2 linked regions of the Arabidopsis thaliana genome follow. The protein of the gene in region 1 interacts with the protein of each later gene in a pairwise test. Each region holds a gene or a part of one and is shown in the gene's direction. Other genes may lie near its edges. The genes, in order: ZML2 and bbx23.

Region 1 (6,097 bases):
GAACTTGGATTTAAGCTATCAAATAGACTCTAAGGAGTCCTTTAGAAACATAATCAGGAACCTAAGTCAACTACAGAACAAGTGCACAGAGTTTCAGGAGCCATTTTTTCTAGAAACGAATAAAGATTTGTATCCAATCATTGGATTCCAAGGTTAGGCTTTAAAAAGATCTACATGACACAAGATGACACAATACAACATACACGGCACTCAGTAATCTAGGACTCACCCCTGCCGCCCATGAAGGATTGTGAGCATTTCCATTTCTCAAGTTGATAATATTGTAAGGTATACCCGTTGGAGTATTCCATGCAGGCAATAATCTGTCTGCAATATCCTTAGCCTTTTCAAGGAACATTTTGTCCCCAGAAAGATCATACGCACTAAGAAGTCCGCCTACAACTCTGAAGGCAGATAAAGAAAAAGAATATAAGCAGATGCAATATCCGTTCCCCATCTTATGTCACCAACTGATAATCGCAAATAAACTGACTCTTCCTACGATAATTACAGAAAACAACCACAGTAAACCTGTTAAAGCCACCTTATGGTTGTCTCAAACATACTGGCGTCATAATCCTTGTCGAAATCCAATGAGCTTGCAACCCACCTGCAAATAAAAGACAATAAGCAAATGAAGATTAGCAAAGATGAAGAAGTAAAAAGTTGGATTTGCAACTGGGACGAAAACAGTTACATATGAATAAATGAAGAGCCTGCAATTACTCACTCTCTGGCTTTTTGAAACTGCTCATCTAGACCCATTATATAGAGTGTATCTAAAGAATCTACCATAGTTGCTCCAAGGCCACCAAAGCTATCAGTGCCATCTTTTGTCCGAGGCTGACAATAAAAAAAGGAAAGAAACAAGAATAGCTTCAGACCAATATTTTTTTTGCAGAGTTCAGGAAGAAAATAATCTTAGTTCTTAACAAAATCTTTGTAGGCCTGGTAACTTCAGATAAGCTCATAATAAAAGGCTCAACAGGATACTGGAAGAGCAGGCACTAAACGTCAAAATAAAATTTGATTCATAGAGTCCGTCGTAAACTAGATTTCGTATTCACAAGGGTGAAATGTATTTTGGAAAATAATTGTATACCTGAAGCTCATCTTTCCCCCATGCATACTTTTCATAAGAGCTCCAAGCATGGATCATTGCCTCTTTTACTTTCTGCCTTCGCTGTTTATCAACTGGATCTTCTGGGGCATCCTTCAGAGTCTTCAAAGGCTTATTGCCAACACCACCATTAAGCTCTTCTAACTAGCGGAAAATATAGTTAGTTAGCTAAAACATTAGAAAGACTATCTGAGCCTAGAGTGAGGGGAAAATATTAATCTTACCATCTGCTCCAACCGTGAAACTTCTTCATTTAGCTTAAAAACTTCAACCTGCAAGACAAAAAAAAGCAGGACAAGTGAGAGAATGATCACAAGAGAAATTGTTCACTTCCTTGACATTTTTCTTATTTTGGTTACATAGCTTCTTATAAACGAATACATGAATTGAGTCCAGAAGATATTAATTACAGCTCTTTTCTAGTAAATAAAACACCAACTGTCTTACTTATAGACCTTGAGCTATGAAGGCAATCAAACCATTCCAGGCCTAAACCATATAACCTACTTCACCAAAATTCGAATTGGCCTACCAATAAGCTATGATACAAGAACTATCTCCTACTCCTAGGCAGAGTCTAACCAGATTTCATTAGACAAAACATACCTCATGTTCTCGGGCAAGATTAATACGATCCCAGACAAGCATAGAAACAGAGACGAAGACAATGAAAAGCAAAGCCAAACGTCTCGGTCTTCTAAGATAATACGCAGGATTCAAATATTTCCATATCCCATAACCACTAATCGATCTACTTCTCGCCATCTCTCTTCTCAACCCACTCAACAAAAACAGAGACCAATTGAGAAATCAGTGTCCATGAAACAGAGCAAGACAAAAGTTAAAAGCTTTTAAATTTCTGATCCGAAAAGAGTAAGAAACCGAGAGAGAAATAAGTCTCTCAAAGAACAAAAGTTATAGATCCGATTTTAGTAGTTAGAAGGAGGAAGACGAAGAAAGAATTAAAAAACGAAACTTTACCCAAAAACCAAAAGAAAAGTATTTATTTATATCTCCGGCACTTTTGCTTATTTATTCTTTTGATGATAAAATAATCAATCGAGTCTCTTTAGCCCCCACTGGTTCGTCTCTTTCTTCGATTTCTCTTTCTATCTGGTTTCCATTTTCGTCTCGTTGGTGTTCTGGTGGGTTTGGTTTGTCTCTGTTCTTCTATTTGTGGCGTTATCCATCGGTTCAATTGTCATCTTCATCGTTTCCGTCGTGTTATTTGGTGTTTCTCGTTTGGGTCTTTCGAACATCTTTCATTCTTCTCTTTTTGGTGTTGCTCCCCACGAACAGGTAACATCATCTTAACTCTTATATTGGTTTCGTGTGTCGTAATGAGGAACCTATATTTCAATGGTTTTGGATGTCGCTTTGTTTCAGGATTTGCTTTTGTTTCTTAGGGTTTATTTTGTTTGTTGAAATTATAAGTGAGTTTGTGGAATTGGTATAATATGGTTTATGTAAGGCTTAGAGCGTGGAAATATTGAAACTTTGGATTGAATCTGATTGATGCAAATATGTTAGAAGTCTGTGTTAATCTCTTGAAAACAAGCATTGATCCATAAGGTTTCCTGAATTTATGTATAGTGTTAGTTAGAACTTATATGTAAGTTGCTCCAATGACCGAGGAAGTAAGGTTATATAGTATGTGAATCATGTTTTGCTTAGAGCTGATTTGATTTGTCTGGTCATCCATGAATCGTGCTTATGAAGATTAGGTGTTTTTGTTTGAAGTTTCCAGTTTTAATGTTAATTTGTTTTACTTTCACTGTTATCATTAGGTAGATTGATGAAAAGCAACCATGGATGACCTACATGGAAGCAATGCTCGAATGCACATTAGAGAAGCTCAAGATCCAATGCATGTGCAATTTGAACATCATGCTTTGCATCACATCCACAATGGAAGCGGTATGGTTGATGACCAGGCTGATGATGGCAATGCTGGTGGGATGAGTGAGGGTGTGGAAACAGACATTCCTTCTCACCCTGGAAATGTAACTGACAATCGTGGTGAAGTGGTCGACCGTGGTAGTGAACAAGGAGATCAGTTAACATTGTCTTTTCAGGGCCAAGTCTACGTTTTTGACAGTGTCTTGCCTGAGAAGGTGAGTTAAGTTGTTACTGAGTTGGTTCGTTGATTGTCTCATTCCATTAGAATTTATATTCTTACTCCAAGCCACATTTTAGCAAGTGGTTGAAGGATCTAGTTAGCTTTGAGTTTTTTCCATCTATTGATTCTAATGTGTGAGTGCCTCTTGCTATTCGACGCCTGTTGCAGGTTCAAGCTGTGCTTCTATTATTGGGTGGTCGTGAATTACCTCAGGCAGCCCCTCCTGGCCTAGGATCACCTCATCAGAACAACAGAGTATCGGTAATAAAATATATGATGGCATTTATGGGACATAAGTTCCCTTCCTTGATACATTGCTTGACTGACTGACTGACTAATCAATGAAACAGAGTTTACCTGGTACTCCTCAAAGGTTTAGTATTCCGCAGCGATTAGCTTCTTTGGTCAGATTTCGAGAGAAACGGAAAGGAAGGAATTTTGATAAGAAGATTCGGTATACAGTCCGCAAGGAGGTAGCTTTGAGGTACATTGATGTCTAAATCAACAACTTGGTCTAGTTATACTTCTTTTATGGTTGCTCTCCCAAAATTAAGGTTCGCATCTTGATTACTTTTTGTTTTCTGGTATACAGGATGCAACGCAATAAAGGTCAGTTCACATCTGCCAAGTCAAACAATGATGAAGCTGCATCTGCTGGATCTAGCTGGGGGTCGAATCAAACCTGGGCCATAGAAAGTAGTGAGGCTCAGCATCAAGAGATCTCGTAAGTTTAGAAATGCTTTGAAAGTAAACTGCGAGTTCCTGACATACTTTTTAACTTGAACCAACTTAACGTAGTTATTATGGGTTTGCTAAGCAACTTTAGAAGTTGTTTTTGCTTCCAACCTAATGTAGCATCTGACTTAGTTATTAAACTGAACCATCCTAATGTAGAGATGATAGGTTTATTAAGCATCTTAGATGTTGTTTTTGGTTTCAGAAACGTTGTAGAGGTACTAGAACTCTGAAACCTATCAATGATTCAATATCAAGACATACACATTGCATATGTAATATTTAACATGAGCATGGACCTATACGAATTGGTAACATTGAAGGACCAATACAGACAAAATATTATATAAAAGCTCTTCCATGCCTGAAGCAAAATGACTTCTGTGATAGATGATTGGTTAAGACAGGTTGTGATGACTAATATTGTATCCTGGAACTGAGAATTTTTATAATAACTTTGGAATAGACAATTGTCGTTTAAGTCTTTGTAGATTTGAGTTTTTCTTCTTGATAGCCTTACTTTAGTTGGTAAGAACATATCTGATTTTACTTCCTCTGAATGGCTTGATACCTGTAAGATGTCGGCACTGTGGAATTGGCGAGAAGTCAACTCCAATGATGCGACGTGGACCTGCCGGGCCAAGAACACTTTGCAATGCATGTGGACTTATGTGGGCAAACAAGGCAAGACAATACTTGCTTCTTAATTTGATCAACTCTCTTTATCTTGCTCATTTTGTAGCACTAGTGATTCGATGATTAGTCTGTCTAAATGAGGACGACATTTATACTTTCAGGGTGCTTTTAGGGACTTATCCAAAGCCTCTCCTCAAACAGCCCAGAATCTTCCTTTAAATAAGAATGAAGTAAGCAACATCATGTTTTGACCAAACAATTTGTTGTACGAAAAGGAATCCATTCGTCTTTATCATAACTTGTGCATGTCTGATCTATCTTTGCAGGATGCAAATCTTGAGACTGATCATCAAATAATGATAACAGTGGCCAATGACATAAGCAACTCACAGTGAGGACATGTTGGCTCTTGCCATTACAAGCAAGAGAAAGATCCCAACAGAGTTTGAATCGCCTCAGGTTCTGTAGCTTTATCATTCCCTTTGAAAGAATCTGACTCGATTTAGGTTATCAGGATTTGATCTATGACAATGTAATCTGAGTGATAATGATCTGCAATGTTTTGCTTCTTCTTTTTTTATGATTCAAAAATGCTTTATAGACTGTTGTTGCATTGGTCCATACTCTGATGTAACGTCTAGTTGCAGTCTGTGTTTTACCCTATTTTAAAGACAAACTAACTTTATTTAAGAACTCACCAAAAGAGTAGTCTCCTTATGACCACAGGGTTGTTTTGGAGACTTAGTAGCCTCATGTAAAGTGAACCATGTTCAATGCCTCATGCTTCTCTAAGTCAAGAAACAAAAAGAGGCTTGTGAATTGTGATATTATTAGCCAAAGGAACTTGCCAAAGGAACTTGCCAAAACAAGGAGACAAACTAAAATGGTTCAGTGCGAATGTGACTGCTCCTTTGTTTTCAGTGGCAAAGATTTTTACACAGAATTTTGCCTAAAAGACTTTCAAATATCCCTTAGATCAAAAAAAAAAAAAAAAAAAAAAGAGACTTTAAAATATCCCAATTTGTGAGAGATATTTTAGATTCCATTTTTGTTTTTATTTTAGCTTAATAGACAAAATCTTATTTCTTGCATTTTCTCTTCTAGTGAATTGTCTCATCTTATCATGAAAATCTGAAAATCTTCTCATAGTTTCATTTTTTAATAATATTTATATTGACTTTTTAGCATACCAGTCATTACATTTCAATTTTTCTGATAAACTACATTACAATGTTATTAGTTAATTTATGAGAGCTAAGCTTTGGAAATAAATGGTATAAAAGAATATTCTTATAATCTTTGTGGACAAAAGATTATTATCTTCGAAAATAGGGAAAATTGTAAAAGATCTTTTTGATGATTTTGATTTTGGGTTTTTGTTATATCTTCAAAGTTTTAATTTTTCTTTTTGTTACTAAATTTCACTGAATTTTGGGATTTTTTAAATTTTCCAAAATTAAAAATAAAATTTAGAAAAAAAAAAAAAA
Region 2 (3,600 bases), on another chromosome or scaffold:
GTAAGGGATCAAATTCGACATGATTGTGTGTGTTTTGGAGTTATCTAAACAAAGTTTTTCGACTGTCGAAAAGCGCAGAAATTCAAAGGGAGAGTGCCTGGATACGCTGTGAAAGCAGTTGACACAACTGGAGCTGGTGATTCATTTGTTGGTGCATTTCTTGTCTCATTGGGAAAAGATGGCTCCATACTCGATGTACGTATAACCAAAGACGTTTTCAGTTCATAGATAAGGCATATGAAATTGAGTTTTGGTGATTGAGTAATGTGAATGTTGCAGGATGAAGGGAAGCTGAAGGAAGCACTTGCCTTTGCAAATGCATGTGGAGCAGTGTGTACTACTCAGAAAGGAGCTATTCCTGCACTTCCCACTCCAGCTGATGCTCAAAAGCTCATGAAATCTAAGTCTAAATAGTTTCAATCTTGTTCTGTTCTGTTTCTGTTTCTTCACTCTTGTCAATTTCCTTGGTTTTCACAGAGTATTTTCTCTGTTATCTGAATAAATCTAGTTTCAAGTTTCTGCCAAAATTGATTCCAAACTAATTCATATACCTTGATTTTTAATTACATGACTAATGTTCTATAACAAATAATCAAGAGGCTCTATAATATAAAGAAATGAACATTTTATTGCATATAGAGAAGGTTACAGAGATTTTGGTAGATAGGTTACAAAACATGACACTCCATTTAGCTTACACAATATGAAACTCAAAACTCTTGGATTTATAATAACTCTCTTCAGACTCAGAAAGTAATATATAGTTTCTTCAATATCAGAGTTCTTTGGATTCAGAAGAGCTGATTTTTGCAGTTTGGTCTTCTTCAGCTGCAATGTTAACAACTCTTGGACCCTTAACTTTTTCAGGAGATAGTTTCGTGAGGTTAATAGTGAGCACACCATTCTCAAGCTTGGCCTTGACTGATTCCATATCTACATTATCAGGTAGCTTGAACTGTCTCCAGAATTTTCCATATGATCTCTCCACTCTATGCCATTGATCTCCTTTCTTCTCTTCTTCTCTTTTCCTCTCTCCACTGACTCGTAAAACTCCGTTCTCCTCCACTTCTATCTTTACTTCATCCTTCTTCAAACCGGGGATATCGAGCATTATCTCATGCCCTTCTGCTGTTTCTTTCCAGTCTACTCTTGCTGGAGACAGAGCCACGCTTGTGTCCCTCTCGAGTCCTAATGGGATTCTCTCCAAGATCTTGAATGGATCAGGGAACCGGTCTAGCCAGAGATCGGATAGCAAGCTGCCTGGAGTAGTTTCAAGTGCAGAAGACAAAGACCCTTCACTTGTTTTGATGTTTCCAAGCAACAAAGCTCCTATGAAGAAGATGCTTAGCAAGTGCTTCATCATGGTTAGTGATTTGGATTTATTGTAGAAGGTTGAAACCAAAATTTTAGGCTTTTAACTTCACTTTCTTATTTTGTTTTCTATGATGGTTAGTCTCAATTCTCTGGTGTATATATAATACACATTGTATGAAGAATGAAGAAGTTTCTTGAAATATCTTTCTTTTGGTAGAGTTTTGCAGAGAGAGATATTGAGATTGTTCTAGCTTTTTTGGCTGTGACTTGTACTAATTATGTTACTACACGTTGGATAAGTTTGTTGTGCCTTTAAGGGTCTTCTCTCATGTTCCAGAGACTTCATGTAAAAACTATGGATTGGATTGGGCCTTAATAGTTATTTATATCCAGGCCTATTTTTATTGGCCCATTATGATATTTGGGACCAATTCTGTTTGTGATGAGTCTTAGAATTTTGGCTGCTGCATGGGAAAGGAATGGGAGAGAGTTTGAATGATGCCATGCTCCATTTCAGTTTCTGACAACATTTTAGAGTTTTTGACCTCTATTGCCCTATGGCTAGTTACTTTTAATTCCACAGTCTTTATGCATATTGTGGTCCTGCCTTTACTTTTGGCTTGCCATGCTTGTGTCTTAAGAGAAGCTTGTCGCTATGTTTGTCAATTTATGTTTTCAAAAGAAAGTAAAACTATACAAGCTTCTGAAAAAGATCTTGTCATGGAGATTTTGGTAGGAGAACATTTATTGGTTTAAATGCCACCCAAAGTTGGTCTAATAACCCCATATTGAGATAAAAATTTCGTCTTCGACATATCGTTGTATATCTATATATAGTTCTCTCTTTTCATGAATAAAGATCATCAATTCCTCTTGGTATCAGAGCCAGGTTTTGATATAACTTATGATCCCACCACACATGTGAACTTATTTAAGCTTGTTCTTTCTTGTTTCCTATATTTAGATTCACTCCTTGTCCTAATTCTCATAAATGTCAAAGAACATTTGTTCTGTCTGTGTATTGGCAATTTACATTGATTTGGATTATAAAGTTGAAGGATGAAGATACAATGTGAAGTGTGTGAAAAGGCTGAAGCAGAAGTACTTTGTTGTTCAGATGAAGCTGTACTATGCAAGCCATGTGACATTAAGGTTCATGAAGCTAATAAACTTTTCCAAAGACATCACCGAGTCGCCTTACAAAAAGATGCAGCCTCAGCCACCACAGCTTCTGGAGCTCCTCTATGTGATATCTGCCAGGTTCCAATCTCTTTTCTCTTTAAACACTCGCTGAGCTCTTTAACCGATGTCTCATATATATGTATATGCAGGAGAGAAAAGGGTACTTCTTCTGCTTAGAGGATAGAGCAATGCTGTGCAATGATTGTGATGAAGCCATTCACACTTGCAATTCTCACCAAAGATTCTTACTTTCTGGAGTACAAGTTTCTGATCAGTCTTTGACTGAAAACTCCGAATGCAGCACTAGTTTTAGCTCTGAAACTTACCAGATTCAGTCAAAAGTGTCTCTGAATAGTCAGTACTCTAGTGAGGAAACTGAAGCTGGAAACTCAGGTGAGATAGTACACAAGAATCCTTCTGTAATCTTAAGTCCTTAGAGATATACACACAACATCATGGTTCCGGAGCCATTGATGTTTAATAATAAAAGTTTCTGTAATATATTATCTTACACAGAAGAAAAACTTGTTGAGGAATCAAATCTTTTTGTTACAACAAATATTAAAACCATGACTTAACAACTAAAGTCAGTGGTCATGGCATCGACACAACCAAAGCTAAGTTGTTCCAATAGTTTCAAGAATTGTAGAAATGTGAATACTATTTGAATCGATCTTAGATATATAAACAAAATTTAAAAAATGAATAAATAATTATTGATTAAATATAATTATTTATCTCAAATATCAAGACTTGGATAGAAAATGCATAACTTAATGAGACAGTCATAGATTACTACTATTAGCTCTTGTACTTTCTTTTTGCCTCACTACAAGAACTATAGACCTTGTTGGATTTGAACCAACGTTGGAACATAACTGATTAAGAAGTGACCATTGAGATTCTTCCTCATCATGATCCAATTGTATACATTTATCTTCTCCCACAACGTGTAAAAAAACGTTGGAGACCCCATGCTTACCACGACACACCAAAACTTTGTTCTCCTGGTCGACCAAAAATTTATCCCACTAGCAAACCAAAAAGGCTTGTAGAAACTTTCTCCATGACGCGGCTCCGGTACCGTCAATCTTAGTTGCAATC

The links.
Region 2: the proteins of ZML2 (region 1) and bbx23 interact in binary tests that used the Arabidopsis thaliana proteins (3 or more experiments, as listed by UniProt).

What each region holds. Positions count from the first base shown.
Region 1 is NC_003070.9:19,130,248-19,136,344, forward strand, and holds ZML2 (ZIM-LIKE 2), read left to right. Parts: upstream 1-1,973; 5' UTR 1,974-2,419; intron 2,420-2,907; 5' UTR 2,908-2,928; coding exon 2,929-3,234; intron 3,235-3,407; coding exon 3,408-3,500; intron 3,501-3,589; coding exon 3,590-3,723; intron 3,724-3,831; coding exon 3,832-3,963; intron 3,964-4,552; coding exon 4,553-4,658; intron 4,659-4,771; coding exon 4,772-4,840; intron 4,841-4,936; coding exon 4,937-5,005; 3' UTR 5,006-5,383; downstream 5,384-6,097. Other genes in the region: MNS1 (alpha-mannosidase 1), read right to left, coding at 230-404, 545-610, 731-843, 1,103-1,264, 1,345-1,392, 1,727-1,885. UniProt on the Arabidopsis thaliana protein: Transcriptional activator that specifically binds 5'-GATA-3' or 5'-GAT-3' motifs within gene promoters.
Region 2 is NC_003075.7:6,368,300-6,371,899, reverse strand, and holds bbx23 (B-box zinc finger family protein), read left to right. Parts: upstream 1-1,949; 5' UTR 1,950-2,373; coding exon 2,374-2,574; intron 2,575-2,645; coding exon 2,646-2,933; 3' UTR 2,934-3,071; downstream 3,072-3,600. Other genes in the region: AT4G10260 (pfkB-like carbohydrate kinase family protein), read left to right, coding at 79-195, 280-414; ATHSP22.0 (HSP20-like chaperones superfamily protein), read right to left, coding at 776-1,363. UniProt on the Arabidopsis thaliana protein: Probable transcription factor that may be involved in seedling photomorphogenesis.